3 linked regions of the Danio rerio genome follow. The protein of the gene in region 1 binds, or shares a complex with, the protein of each later gene. Links are inferred from orthologs where the notes say so. Each region holds a gene or a part of one and is shown in the gene's direction. Other genes may lie near its edges.

The links.
Region 2: smc5 (region 1) and nsmce2 share a complex: the UniProt entries of both Homo sapiens proteins name them as parts of the SMC5-SMC6 complex. The link is inferred for Danio rerio from reciprocal best matches to the Homo sapiens genes SMC5 and NSMCE2.
Region 3: smc5 (region 1) and nsmce1 share a complex: the UniProt entries of both Homo sapiens proteins name them as parts of the SMC5-SMC6 complex. The link is inferred for Danio rerio from reciprocal best matches to the Homo sapiens genes SMC5 and NSMCE1.

What each region holds. Positions count from the first base shown.
Region 1 is NC_133185.1:17,915,255-17,918,754, reverse strand, and holds part of smc5 (structural maintenance of chromosomes protein 5), read left to right. Parts: intron 1-440; coding exon 441-602; intron 603-683; coding exon 684-755; intron 756-848; coding exon 849-1,104; intron 1,105-1,192; coding exon 1,193-1,347; intron 1,348-1,428; coding exon 1,429-1,542; intron 1,543-3,346; coding exon 3,347-3,441; intron 3,442-3,500. UniProt on the Homo sapiens protein: Core component of the SMC5-SMC6 complex, a complex involved in repair of DNA double-strand breaks by homologous recombination.
Region 2 is NC_133191.1:26,958,670-26,962,650, forward strand, and holds the start of nsmce2 (E3 SUMO-protein ligase NSE2), read left to right. Parts: upstream 1-1,181; 5' UTR 1,182-1,193; exon of another isoform or gene 1,194-1,389; intron 1,390-1,483; 5' UTR 1,484-1,493; coding exon 1,494-1,608; intron 1,609-3,981. UniProt on the Homo sapiens protein: E3 SUMO-protein ligase component of the SMC5-SMC6 complex, a complex involved in DNA double-strand break repair by homologous recombination. Is not be required for the stability of the complex.
Region 3 is NC_133178.1:43,207,134-43,211,070, forward strand, and holds the start of nsmce1 (non-structural maintenance of chromosomes element 1 homolog), read left to right. Parts: upstream 1-1,137; 5' UTR 1,138-1,202; intron 1,203-3,296; 5' UTR 3,297-3,318; coding exon 3,319-3,436; intron 3,437-3,937. UniProt on the Homo sapiens protein: RING-type zinc finger-containing E3 ubiquitin ligase that assembles with melanoma antigen protein (MAGE) to catalyze the direct transfer of ubiquitin from E2 ubiquitin-conjugating enzyme to a specific substrate.

The sequences.
Region 1 (3,500 bases):
ACCTTAAAATAGTTTTAAATAAATTAAAAACTGCTTTTATTCTTGCCAAAATAAAACAAATAAAACTTTCTCCAGAAGAAAAACATTATAAATACTGTGAAAATTGCCTTGTTCTGTTAAACATAATTTAGGAAATATTTAAAAAAGAAAAAAAAATCAATGAAGGGCTAAAAATTCATTTATTGAATATATTAGGACTATTACGTAATTTGGCCTAAATGAGCAAAACACACCCAGCACAATATTATTTAATTATTGTTAAGGTGGGAAAATTATTCATATAATGAGCCAAAAACTATTTTGGCCAATATTGCACACCTTTAGTGAACATTCTTTGTGCTTATCGTTTTTGCTTTTGTTGTACTAGGAGTGGATGTTTTTAAAAATTTGAGTACATATGGAATATCATTTCCAAACTGTATCTTTTTTTGTTGTTTTAGGAGTATGAGACGGCACGTAAAGAGCTGGAGGGGGTGAAGAAGGAAAGAGATGAAATGAAAAGGAAGCTTAGGTTCCTGAAGGAAGCTCAGGAGCCGCTGCTCAGAAAGATCCGCTCTGTGGAGAGTGAGCTGCAGCCCATCGAGCAGCAGATGAAGGAGATGGTCAGCACTGATCACAACCTCACCAGCAAGACTCTGTTTTATTTTATTTATATACAAAAGTAATACCTTTATTTTTTCCAGACCAACCGTATCAAAGAGGCAACGCAGAAATGTAAGCAGAAACACGACCAGCTTGAACTGAAGAATAAAGAGGTTTGTTTTTCACCTCCTGAAACGGACGAGCCTTTTATTTGTAGTAACACCTCCTAAAACTGTATTGAAAGACTCATCACTCTCTTCCATCAGGTTGATGACATCAAACAGGACATGAGTCTAAAGCAGACGGAGGAGGCGGACAGGCAGAAGCGGATTGGACACACGCAACTGATGATCAGAGATCTGCAAAAGGAGCTTCAGAACATGGGCACCATTGAGGACGTTACTCCTCAGATTGAGGCTATCAATGCAGAGCTGAGGAACATTCAGGAAGAAAGAGCCAGACTGGAGAGTGAGAGTCTGGACCTGCGCAGAGATAAAGATGAAATCACTGGAGAATTTGCGCGTAATGTTATATATTCATTTTAATAGCGAACTATTATGTTGCATGAATAGCCAGATCCAAGACTTGGGCTCGGTTTTATTTGTGGTAGGTTTGCAGAATCGCCTGAGGAGTCTGGATGACATGATGAAGATTAAAGAGGAGAAATTGCGCAGCCGCTTTCGTGACACATACACAGCCCTTGAGTGGCTGAGGAAAAATCGTGATCGTTATGAAGGAGTTGTCCATGAGCCCATGATGCTGGTGGTAAGTTAACAGCTGTTAATTTTAGTTGCTGTTTATAAATGGGTTGTCAAGTTGATCAATTTCTTTCCGTTTTATTGCCAGATAAATGTTCGTGATGCTCGGCATGCAAAATACATTGAGACTCACATTTCTGTCAATGACTTGAGAGCTTTCGTCTTCCAGAGACAGGATGATAACGACAAATTTATGAATGAGGTGAGAAGCTCGACTTTGTAGAACTTTTTTTTTTTTCCGAGTTTTGTAATATGACATTTGGTGGGAGGGGGTGGAGGGTATTTTAAAAATAACACAATGCATTAAAGAATGCATGGGATGAAGAAGAGGCATCCAGTTTTGGTCAATTCAATAATTGCTGTATTGGCAGGCCAAATGTATTGCCAAAGCAAGCAGTTTACATTAAAAAGAACTTGCATATATAGACAGTTGAAGTCAGAATTATAAGCCCCCCTAAATTATTAGACCGCTTGTTTATTTTTTCCCTAATTTCTGTTTAACGGAGAGAACATTTTTTCAGCACATTTCTAAACATATTAGTTTTAATATTTATAATATTATATTTCACATTTCTAATAATTGATTTATTTTATCTTTGCCATGATGACAGAAAATAATATTTCACTAGATATTTTTCAAGACACTTCTATACAGCTTAAAGTGACATTTAAAGGATTAAATAGATTACTTAGGTTACCTAGGCAGGTTAGGGTAATTAGGCAAGTTATTGTATAACAATGGTTTGTTCTGTAGATTATCCATAAAAAATTTAGCTTAAAGAGGCTAATAATTTTGTCCCTAAAATGATGTTTAAAAAATTAAAAACTGCTTTTATTCTAGCCGAAATAAAACAAATAAGACTTTCTCCAGAAGAATAAATATTATGAGACATACTGTGAAAATTTCCTTGCTCTGTTAAACATAATTTTGGAAATATTTAAAAAAGAAGAAAAAAATTGGAAGGGGGCTAATAATTCTGACTTTAACTGTATATAAAAAAAACATACTAAATACCGTAAATAAAATCATAATAATGATTATAGCTGCGAAAAGCAACTATCGGGGCCAAGCAGCCAAGCGGCCACATTATAAACAAGCAATGCAACAAGCTAAAGAGCAACTGGAAAACTATAACTTTTTAGCAGTATGTTCGGAGCCAAATTTGGTGGAAATTGGGCTAATGATCTATGGAGAGTTCAAACCAGGTTTTCAAACTAGTTCAAGATTGTGGACAATAAGTTGTGTCATTTAGGGAATAAATTATCGGTGCTTGGGCCCCTAACTATATAAAAATATTAATAAAAATAATAATATATGGATATAATAATTTGGATAAAACGGTTATAACAAATAATAATCAGTATATTTACAATGATTTATAATATTATGATAATATATTAATAATAATTTTTTTTTATTGTTATAGACTCATATATGTTTTTTCAACTTTTGTGAATAATTATTCTAATAATAGTCTAAGAGATATTTTTATGTTAAAATGAAAAAACATATTCTGACCTGTACTTTAGGAATGAATAAACTTTACACTCACTTTATGCCCGCATACCAACTATTGGTAGAGAGGAAAGACCGTATTACTTGAAATATATACATTTTATTACATTATTAATATTATTATATATATATATATAAATTTATGGATAAAAACTTAAAATGTCTGAAGGATAGTTGCAATAAATAAAGATTTACTTTTACAAATAATGAGTATTTTGATGCTGCAATGTGTTTTGTAAATTCAAAAGTTTTTAAAAATGTCTTCAAATAATTTTTGCATTTTGATGAGATTTTAATTTATATTATCTGCTGTAACAGAAAGCCATTTTAGTCTCCTCTAAGTCATGGTAAAAGCGTTGTTTTTTTTTTTTTAACTTTTGTTATTATTTTGCTTCTTGCAAAAACCCTTTTGTTATTGACTCGCATTAAAAAATGAAAAGTAAATTATGTAAAACGAGGCATGTTTTTTTTTTTATTTTTTTTTTTTTAGATGAGAGATACGCAGAGGCTGCGAGTTAACAGCATCATCGCTCCTACAGAGTCTTGCTCTAAACGACCACCGTCACGACCCATCGAGACCCTCAAGTAATGAGCATCATTAAATGTCTTTTTTTTTTACTACATTTAGAGTTTATGTGTTTAAT
Region 2 (3,981 bases), on another chromosome or scaffold:
GTTAATTTCCACCAAGCAGTCACTGGTAGGACACCTGACCCACCAGCCAGTTGTTGAAGGCCACCAACCAGGCTCTGGCTGCCAGTTGTCAACTGCCGGGTAAAATGCGCTGCCACTGGCAGGTCATGCTACCTGACAGTTGGACACTGGCGGCTGCCACCAGCCAGTGGCAGGTCATGTGACCCGCCACTGGCGGCTCCTGCCAGCCAGTTGAAGATTGAACCCCTACTGGGAAAGCGGGTTTAAGAATGAACACAACAGCCCACTCTGTTACTATTCTGCTTAATGACTCAGTATCGAATAAACTATACACGTTTTCCCGAATAACTTTACCTAACATTTACACTTCCTAATATACAGCAAACTACTATAGCACAAACTATTATCGCAGTGTAACATTACCAAAAAAGACTTTGAACTAAAAACCGGACAGTTGACTTTTTTAGACAGCATTACCAGCAGTTCACTATGTGAACAGCACAGTTTTGAACGCAGCCCCCTGTGTGGGCATCATTGTAGCGCTACTGCAGTGTGGGGCCTACAAGGCCTTGTCACCGCTGCTGTTATATTTACTTTCTGTATAGCTTAATGTCCTTTTAACCTACCTGAAATTTATGAAAGAACGCTTCTGGCCACAATACGAGGTACATAGGACCGATTAATCCCAGCTTCCCTATTAGCGGCACAGCAATGGAGCCAGCAAACCAGTATCGAGTGATGAAAGGTATGTTTTTAAACCAGTCCCCGATATCCGACATCTTGCCATATGACTGGAGATCCTGGAGATTCTCTGTCGTTTTTCCGCAGATGCTAATTTACAAAAAGAGCAGGTGCAACACACGAATCTTTGACCACAACGCAGAAATGCTGTTTCAGTGCTCTTCTATTTTGGTTACGCACTCCTTCCCGTTTAGTTTACATGACGTGGCCGCGCACGAACGCGTCCTCGTTGCGATTTTCCGTTTAATTTGACTGTCAAATTAACAGTCATGCAAAAAATCTAAAATATTTTTTTATTATTGACACTTAAGCATTTTAAAATATGTGTCGTATTACCTTAATAAGTTTTTATTCACAAACACTTCAACAGTTTTATGATTGCAGTGTGCATTTTTACGAAATCGAGGTCTTTTATATTGATATTTCGAAACCGGAAACAGCCTCTTTGTGGCGCTACTTTTGGCGAAGGAAGGGTTAGCATCTATTTTATTGGATGTTTTATGTATAATGACAGATATTTACTATATGTGTGTTCAAAAACATTTAAAAACTAAATGATAACGCTTAGTACATAGGCCATTACATAGTTACGTTTTGTGAGAGATAGGTAAAACTTTATTCTAAATATAAAACTCTTTGTTTAACTTTACTCGGTTTTTTATCTGTATGGTTAGTGTCACCATTTTTATAATAATTTTTCCCATACAATACACGTGAAGGGTAAATAAGGCTGGAAGTTGATGTTGAATTTGTGTTTGTTCAGTTGTGCAGAGATGTCTCTCAGTTCAGTGAACTCCACCTTGTCCAATCTCAAGTCCTGTCAAGCAGATGTTGGAGATTATATGGATATGGTGTCCGACGTTGGGCTGGGAATAGTCGAAGCACAAGGTGAGAAATATGCGTTTAGCTAAACATATCTTAGAAAGTAGACACTAATATATATTTTATAGATACATCAAACAAACAAAAAACCCACAATTCGATAGCTGAATGTACTCAATTCATGCAAACCTCAGATCCCGTACTGTATTACTCTTGACTACAGGTCAATAGTTCGGGTGAGTTTTATTCAAAGAAAATTATTCTCTTCGTCAAGGCAACATTAATGAAATATAAAATAATTGTTGAATTGTTATATATTTATTAAAATTGTTTATAACTGCTGTTTTATTGTACGTAGTTTCAAATGAAGTTATTACCCCAGTCATTATTGCTTTTATTAATATTACCATTAATAATAATAAAAAATATATTATAATTAATAATAAATATTAGAGTGATTTCTGAAGGTTCATGTGACTCTGAAGACTGGAGTAATTCATTTTTAAAATCACTGTAATAAATTATTAAATTATAAACTACAAGGTTCAATGCTAAGGATTTTTATACCGGTCCGATTGGGCCAATAATTCAAATTTTTACTTGCCCTGGCAAAATTTTCACTGGCACCACCTAAAAACACCTAAAGATAATAGCTATTTTTAGCCACATATTTTAAATAATGTGTCAAAAATAATGTCTGTGAATCTAGAATTTCAATATTTAAAGAAATGAGCAAAAAGTGTTATGCAAACAAGTTGAGTAGTATGAAAAATGTGCAGGTATTTTATTGCAGTTTGAAATTATTTAATAAAAGGTGGCTGACTTGCCAATCTGATGGCAAATTGTGCAAAACATCACTTTATTTTTTCGTTATGTTGTTCCCACGTAAATGTCTGCTTCCAAGACATTACAAACAGACCTTTTCTTTTAGCCTTATAGTTTGATGTTGGCGTCACTTCACTGTACTGGTTGTTACCAGGTTATTTGGGAGAAAAAAGAGCATGCTCAATACATCAAATCAGATAAGAGAAACCAAAAAGCAATATGGTGTTTACGACAACACTGAGAAGGTAACATTTAAAGACTTTAAAGCACAAAATTTAAATGCATGCAATTGACTAATAGTCGCATACAAATGAAACTTTAGTGATAAGGCAGCACTGTTCCAATTGGGCCAGTGATGATCTTGATCTCATCGGGCAGTCCTTATTGTTGAGCCCTGAACTACTTTTGAACAGTTATTTTATAGTGCAATAACATTTCACAATTGTACAATTTGTACTGTATTTTGATTAAATAGATGCTGTCAAGGTGAACAGGATGAGCTTGTTTTAAAAGATTTAATAATCCTACTGACCCCAAACTTTTGACTGGACATTTTCAAAAAAAAATCTTAACAAAAACAAATTTATTGTTTACAAATGCAGTCGTGTTAAGCATAAGACTCTTCTTTCAAACACTGTACTGACCCCAGACTGTTGCACAGTAGTGTATAATGTATAATTAGGGGTGTCACGATTCTCCAAATTTTCGATTCGATTACATTTTCGATTTTTAAGTCACGATTCGATTCGATTTTCGATTATGAATAATTAATTAATTAAAAACAAATTAATTATTTGTAGTCTACCGTTTAAACTACCTGACCTGTATGGTCTTTGTTTTACCCATAAACAAATCATACAGTAAATGAATAAAGGCAAGTTACACACATAATTACCACCCGTCAATCACTTTTTTCTTGTGAATAGGCAGTGATCTCTGTCGTTATTATGGCGTCGGTAAAAAAAGGTGCACAACCAACAGGAACCAGCCAACAGTATCTGAGGTTTTCGCTAAAATGACTAAGTACTAGTGTGAAAGTAAAAGATTGAAGCAGTCTTAACTAGGTTAATTAGGTTAACCAGGCAGGCTAGGGTAATTAGGCAAGTTATTGTATATTGATGGTTTGTTCTGGAGACAGTCTGAAAAACAATTAGCTTAAGGGGCTAATAAATTTGACCTTAAAATGGTTCATAAAAAATGAAGAACTGCTTTTATTCTAGCCAAAATAAAACAAATAAGACTTTGTTCAGAGGAAAAAATATTATCAGACATACTATCAACATTTCCTTGCTCTGTTAAACATCATGTTAAAAAACAACAAAGGGGGCTAATAATTCTGACTTCCACTGAATATATATTTACAGTAATTTTTTAAAATGTTTTTAAGAAAACATTCAGTTCATCAAGGCTACATTTATTAAATGTAAAAAATGTTAAATTGTTAAATATTTATCAACATTTTAAATAACTACTTTGTTATTGTATGTAGTTTCAAATAAAAGTATTACTCCAGACATTATTTCTTTTATTAATATTACCATTAATAAATATAATAATAATTAATATTAATGATTTCTGAAGGATCATGTGACTGGAGTAATGAAGCTGAAATTT
Region 3 (3,937 bases), on another chromosome or scaffold:
TTAGGTTTATCTTTTTTAATTTTGTTTATTAATTTTAGGCTCAATCCCAAAGAATCTGTGCTTCAGATAAAAAGAAAATCTTCTGTAATACTCTGAAGAATGGTATTTGAGTAAATTAACAGCATTTTTCAAAAAGTGTTACATGGAGAACTGTTGCAAAAATTAAGTTTAATAATGTTCAACTTAATTTGTTTGTTTAAATTCAACACAAATAAATTGTTTACAACCACTTTACGTAAAAAACAAATGAGCAAATCCAAAGAATCATCTCTGTATAATTTTTTTCAGTGTGATGTGCTGCTGTTCAGGATAATAATAATTTGGACTCTGTGAGTGGTGATAATATGTTGAATAATGTTAAACGGATGTATTCCATCATCATTCTCAAATGCTGCCTGTCGTGTTTGCTGATTTGCAGGTCATTATATAAGTCAGTTATCATAATATTTTTTTTAAAACTGGGGCCCCTGAGGGCCAAATAGGAGTGTTAGTTGGTCCGTAAAATAGTTTATTTAATTATATTAATAAATACATTATATTGATATTTTTCTTGCTGGATAAGTTGGCGGTTCATTCCGCTTTGGCGACCCCGGATTAATATAGGGACTAAGTCGACAAGAAAATGAATGAATTAATATTTAATTTTAGTTTAATGCATAATCACTTACAAATAAGTAAAAAAAAAAAGATTAAAATGATTAAAGTAGATTTTGTTAAAATTATTTTTAAACTAAATAAATACAATACTATATCATGAGTACAACAATGTGATGTTGACTTAATCTAAACTAAAAAAAATTTTTCTACAAATAATATTTAACAAGTATGAAACTACATGAACTATATGCATTTATCTATTACTGTATACGTAGGCTGGTGTCTTTTAGGAAATGTACAAAAGAAAGGCAAGAAATGATGACCCAACAGATGAGTAAATATCACAAGTAGCATGTGCCGAAAAACAAAAAAGAAATGCTTCCTGGAATTTTAAGGGAAACTTTAAAAAACTACAAGACTCAACAAAGGGAAAAAAAATTGTACAGAAGGGGCAGTAATGCAACAAAAAGGACGCCATCTGCCATTGAGGACTCAAAGAAGAAGAAGAAGAAGAAGAACGCATACCACGTGGCCGGAAGTGTTTCTAGTGGGAACCCGCGAATATTACACGAACTGACAGCTCGTCTGTACATTTAAAAACAAAGGTTTGTATATGAGAAACAAACGTCGCTTTACTCGAAACACTTTCGTCTTTCTTCAAGTGTTCTGTCGTTTTATTTTATTTCAAATTTCGCATTGAGTTACAAATGTTACCATACAAAAATATAGTACATGTGTAGTACTTTTAAAATGTTTTTTAAAAAATACCACAGTGTTTTTGAACCGAACTATAGTGAAGAGTATTATACTTATATATTATAGTATATAATTAAAAGTCTTTAAAATGAAGGCTAGCTACTTATAAATAATAAATACTGTAACATTAGTATAATGTTACGTTACTTAAGATTTTACTACACTAAACTGTGGTGTATTGTAACTTAGTGGTAACGTCAAATAACATGCCACATTGTTGTAGAAAACAGTGTAACGTTATTTAGGGCTGCTCGATTTTGGGAAAAATCTTAATCACAATTATTTTGACCTTTATTGTAATCACGATTATTCAAAACGATTATCAGTTGAAGTCAAAATTATTAGCGCTCCTGAGAATTGAAAAAAAAAAATTCCTAAATGATGTTTAACAGAGCAAGGAATTTTACAGTGTTTCCTCTAATATTTTTTTCTTCTGGAGAAAGGCTTATGTGTTTTATTTTAGCTAGAATAAAAGCAGGTTTAAATATTTTGAAACCCATTTTAAGGTCAATATTATTAGCCCCCTAAGCAACATTTTTTTGATTGTCTGTAGAAGAATCTACTGTTAAACAATGACTTGCCTAATTACCCTAATTAAGCCTTTGAATTGCACTTTTACCTGAATGCTTGTATTTTGAAAAATGTCTAGTAGAATATTATGTTCTGTCATCTTAGCAAAGATTAAAGAAATCAGTCATTAGAAATGAGATATGAAAACTATTATGTTTAAAAATAAGTTGGAAAAAAACTTCTTTCCATAAATCAAAAATTGGGGGGAAAAGGGTTTCTAATATTGAGGAGGGCTAACAATTCTGACTTCAACTGTGTGTGTGTGTGTGTGTGTGTGTATATATATATATATATATATATATATATATATATATATATATATATAAATATATATATATATATATATATATATATATAGTTATTTTCCAACCTTCAAAGGAAAGAGAAATAAATACAATAGAATAAAAATATGAAACCAACTTTGCTTTAAGCATCTTCACTGTAAGAAAAAAACTTTATCTACAAAAGTCCTTCAGTCAACAGCAGTAGTGGATTTTCTCCTTGTTGTTTTATTAATAATGATAAAAACAGGCGGCACAAGGAATATCGCTCTGTCACTTTAATGGTTTCTCTTTCACGTGTCTTTTGATTCCCAACTCATTTGTTTATTACACAAATGAGGGTTAATATGAATAATCACTCTGCGTTTTGACACCTATTTGACCATTAAAGCGCTCACGTTAATGACTTAAGACGTGTGCGCTCTGCTCGTCTCAGTGTACGGATGAGACGAATGCTGACCGCATGCTTCTGACTGTGTGTGCGCTGCACAAACACACACATAAGCACACAGTCTTTCGACTTTTAATGTGTACAACTGGAAAGGCGGCGGTATATGATGCAATAATCGATTATCTCGATTAATGGTTCATTATAATCGTTAGAAGCCAAAATCGAAATCGTATTTTCAATTAATTGCACAGCCCTAACGTTATTTGATAATTTGTTTATATCACCAAAGGTGTTGTGTTACCACAGCAGATTAATTCTGCTAAATAATGTAAAGTGCTTTACTATAGTACGGGTTCCCATATTTTGTGATTTGTGTATTTATTTATTTTTTATTATTTATGCTTTTGAGTTGCATTGTGAGACCTTGATCTTTCTTCTCATCACTTTTAACCTTAAAAAGGTGGAAAAAGTGACTTTTTTAAATGCTTTTAATAGTTAAAAGTTAGATATTGTCTAGTTGTCTGTTATTTTACAGGTTTATTTCTCTATATTATTTTTTATGTTATATTATTTTAAACTACTCAAATGTCAATAAAAGTTTTATGTTGGTATATCATGTAGGTTTACTTGTTTTATGTCGATTTGAGCTCATGTTTGCTTGAGTTTGGGAAATTTAGCTTATCTACACATGTGTTTTCCAGCTGAAAAGGACATTTAGCAGTCATGTCTAGACAGATGGGTGACGGACATAGGCTGTTCCTGCAGAACATGATGACCAACGGCATCGTCAGTGCAGCTCAGGCTGGAATGCTCCACAAGAAGTGCTGCGAGCTCCATGGAGGTATGAAGAAAACACTTGCGCTGATAGGGATAGAGTTAACCCAAAAATGAAAATCCTGTCATCATTTCAAACCAGTTTGAGTTTTTTTTGTTCAGTTGTACACAAAAGTGGTGAAGCAATGGCGCAGTAGGTAGTACTGTCGCCTCACAGCAAGAAGGTTGCTGGGTCGCTGGTTCGAGCCTTGGCTCAGTTGGCATTTTTGTGTGGAGTTTGCATATTCTCCCTGCGTTCGCGTGGGTTTCCTCCAGGTGCTCCAGTTTCCCCGACTGTCCAAAGACATGTGGTACAGGTGAATTGGGTAGACTAAATTGTCCGTAGTGTATGAGTGTGTGTGAATGTGTGTGTGGATGTTTCCTAGAGATGGGTTGCGGCTGGAAGGGCATCCGCTGCTAAAAACTTGCTGGATAATTTGGCGATTCATTCCGCTGTGGCGACCCTGGATTAATAAAGGGACTAAGCCGACAAGAAAATGAATGAATGAATGAAATGCTCATTAAGAGT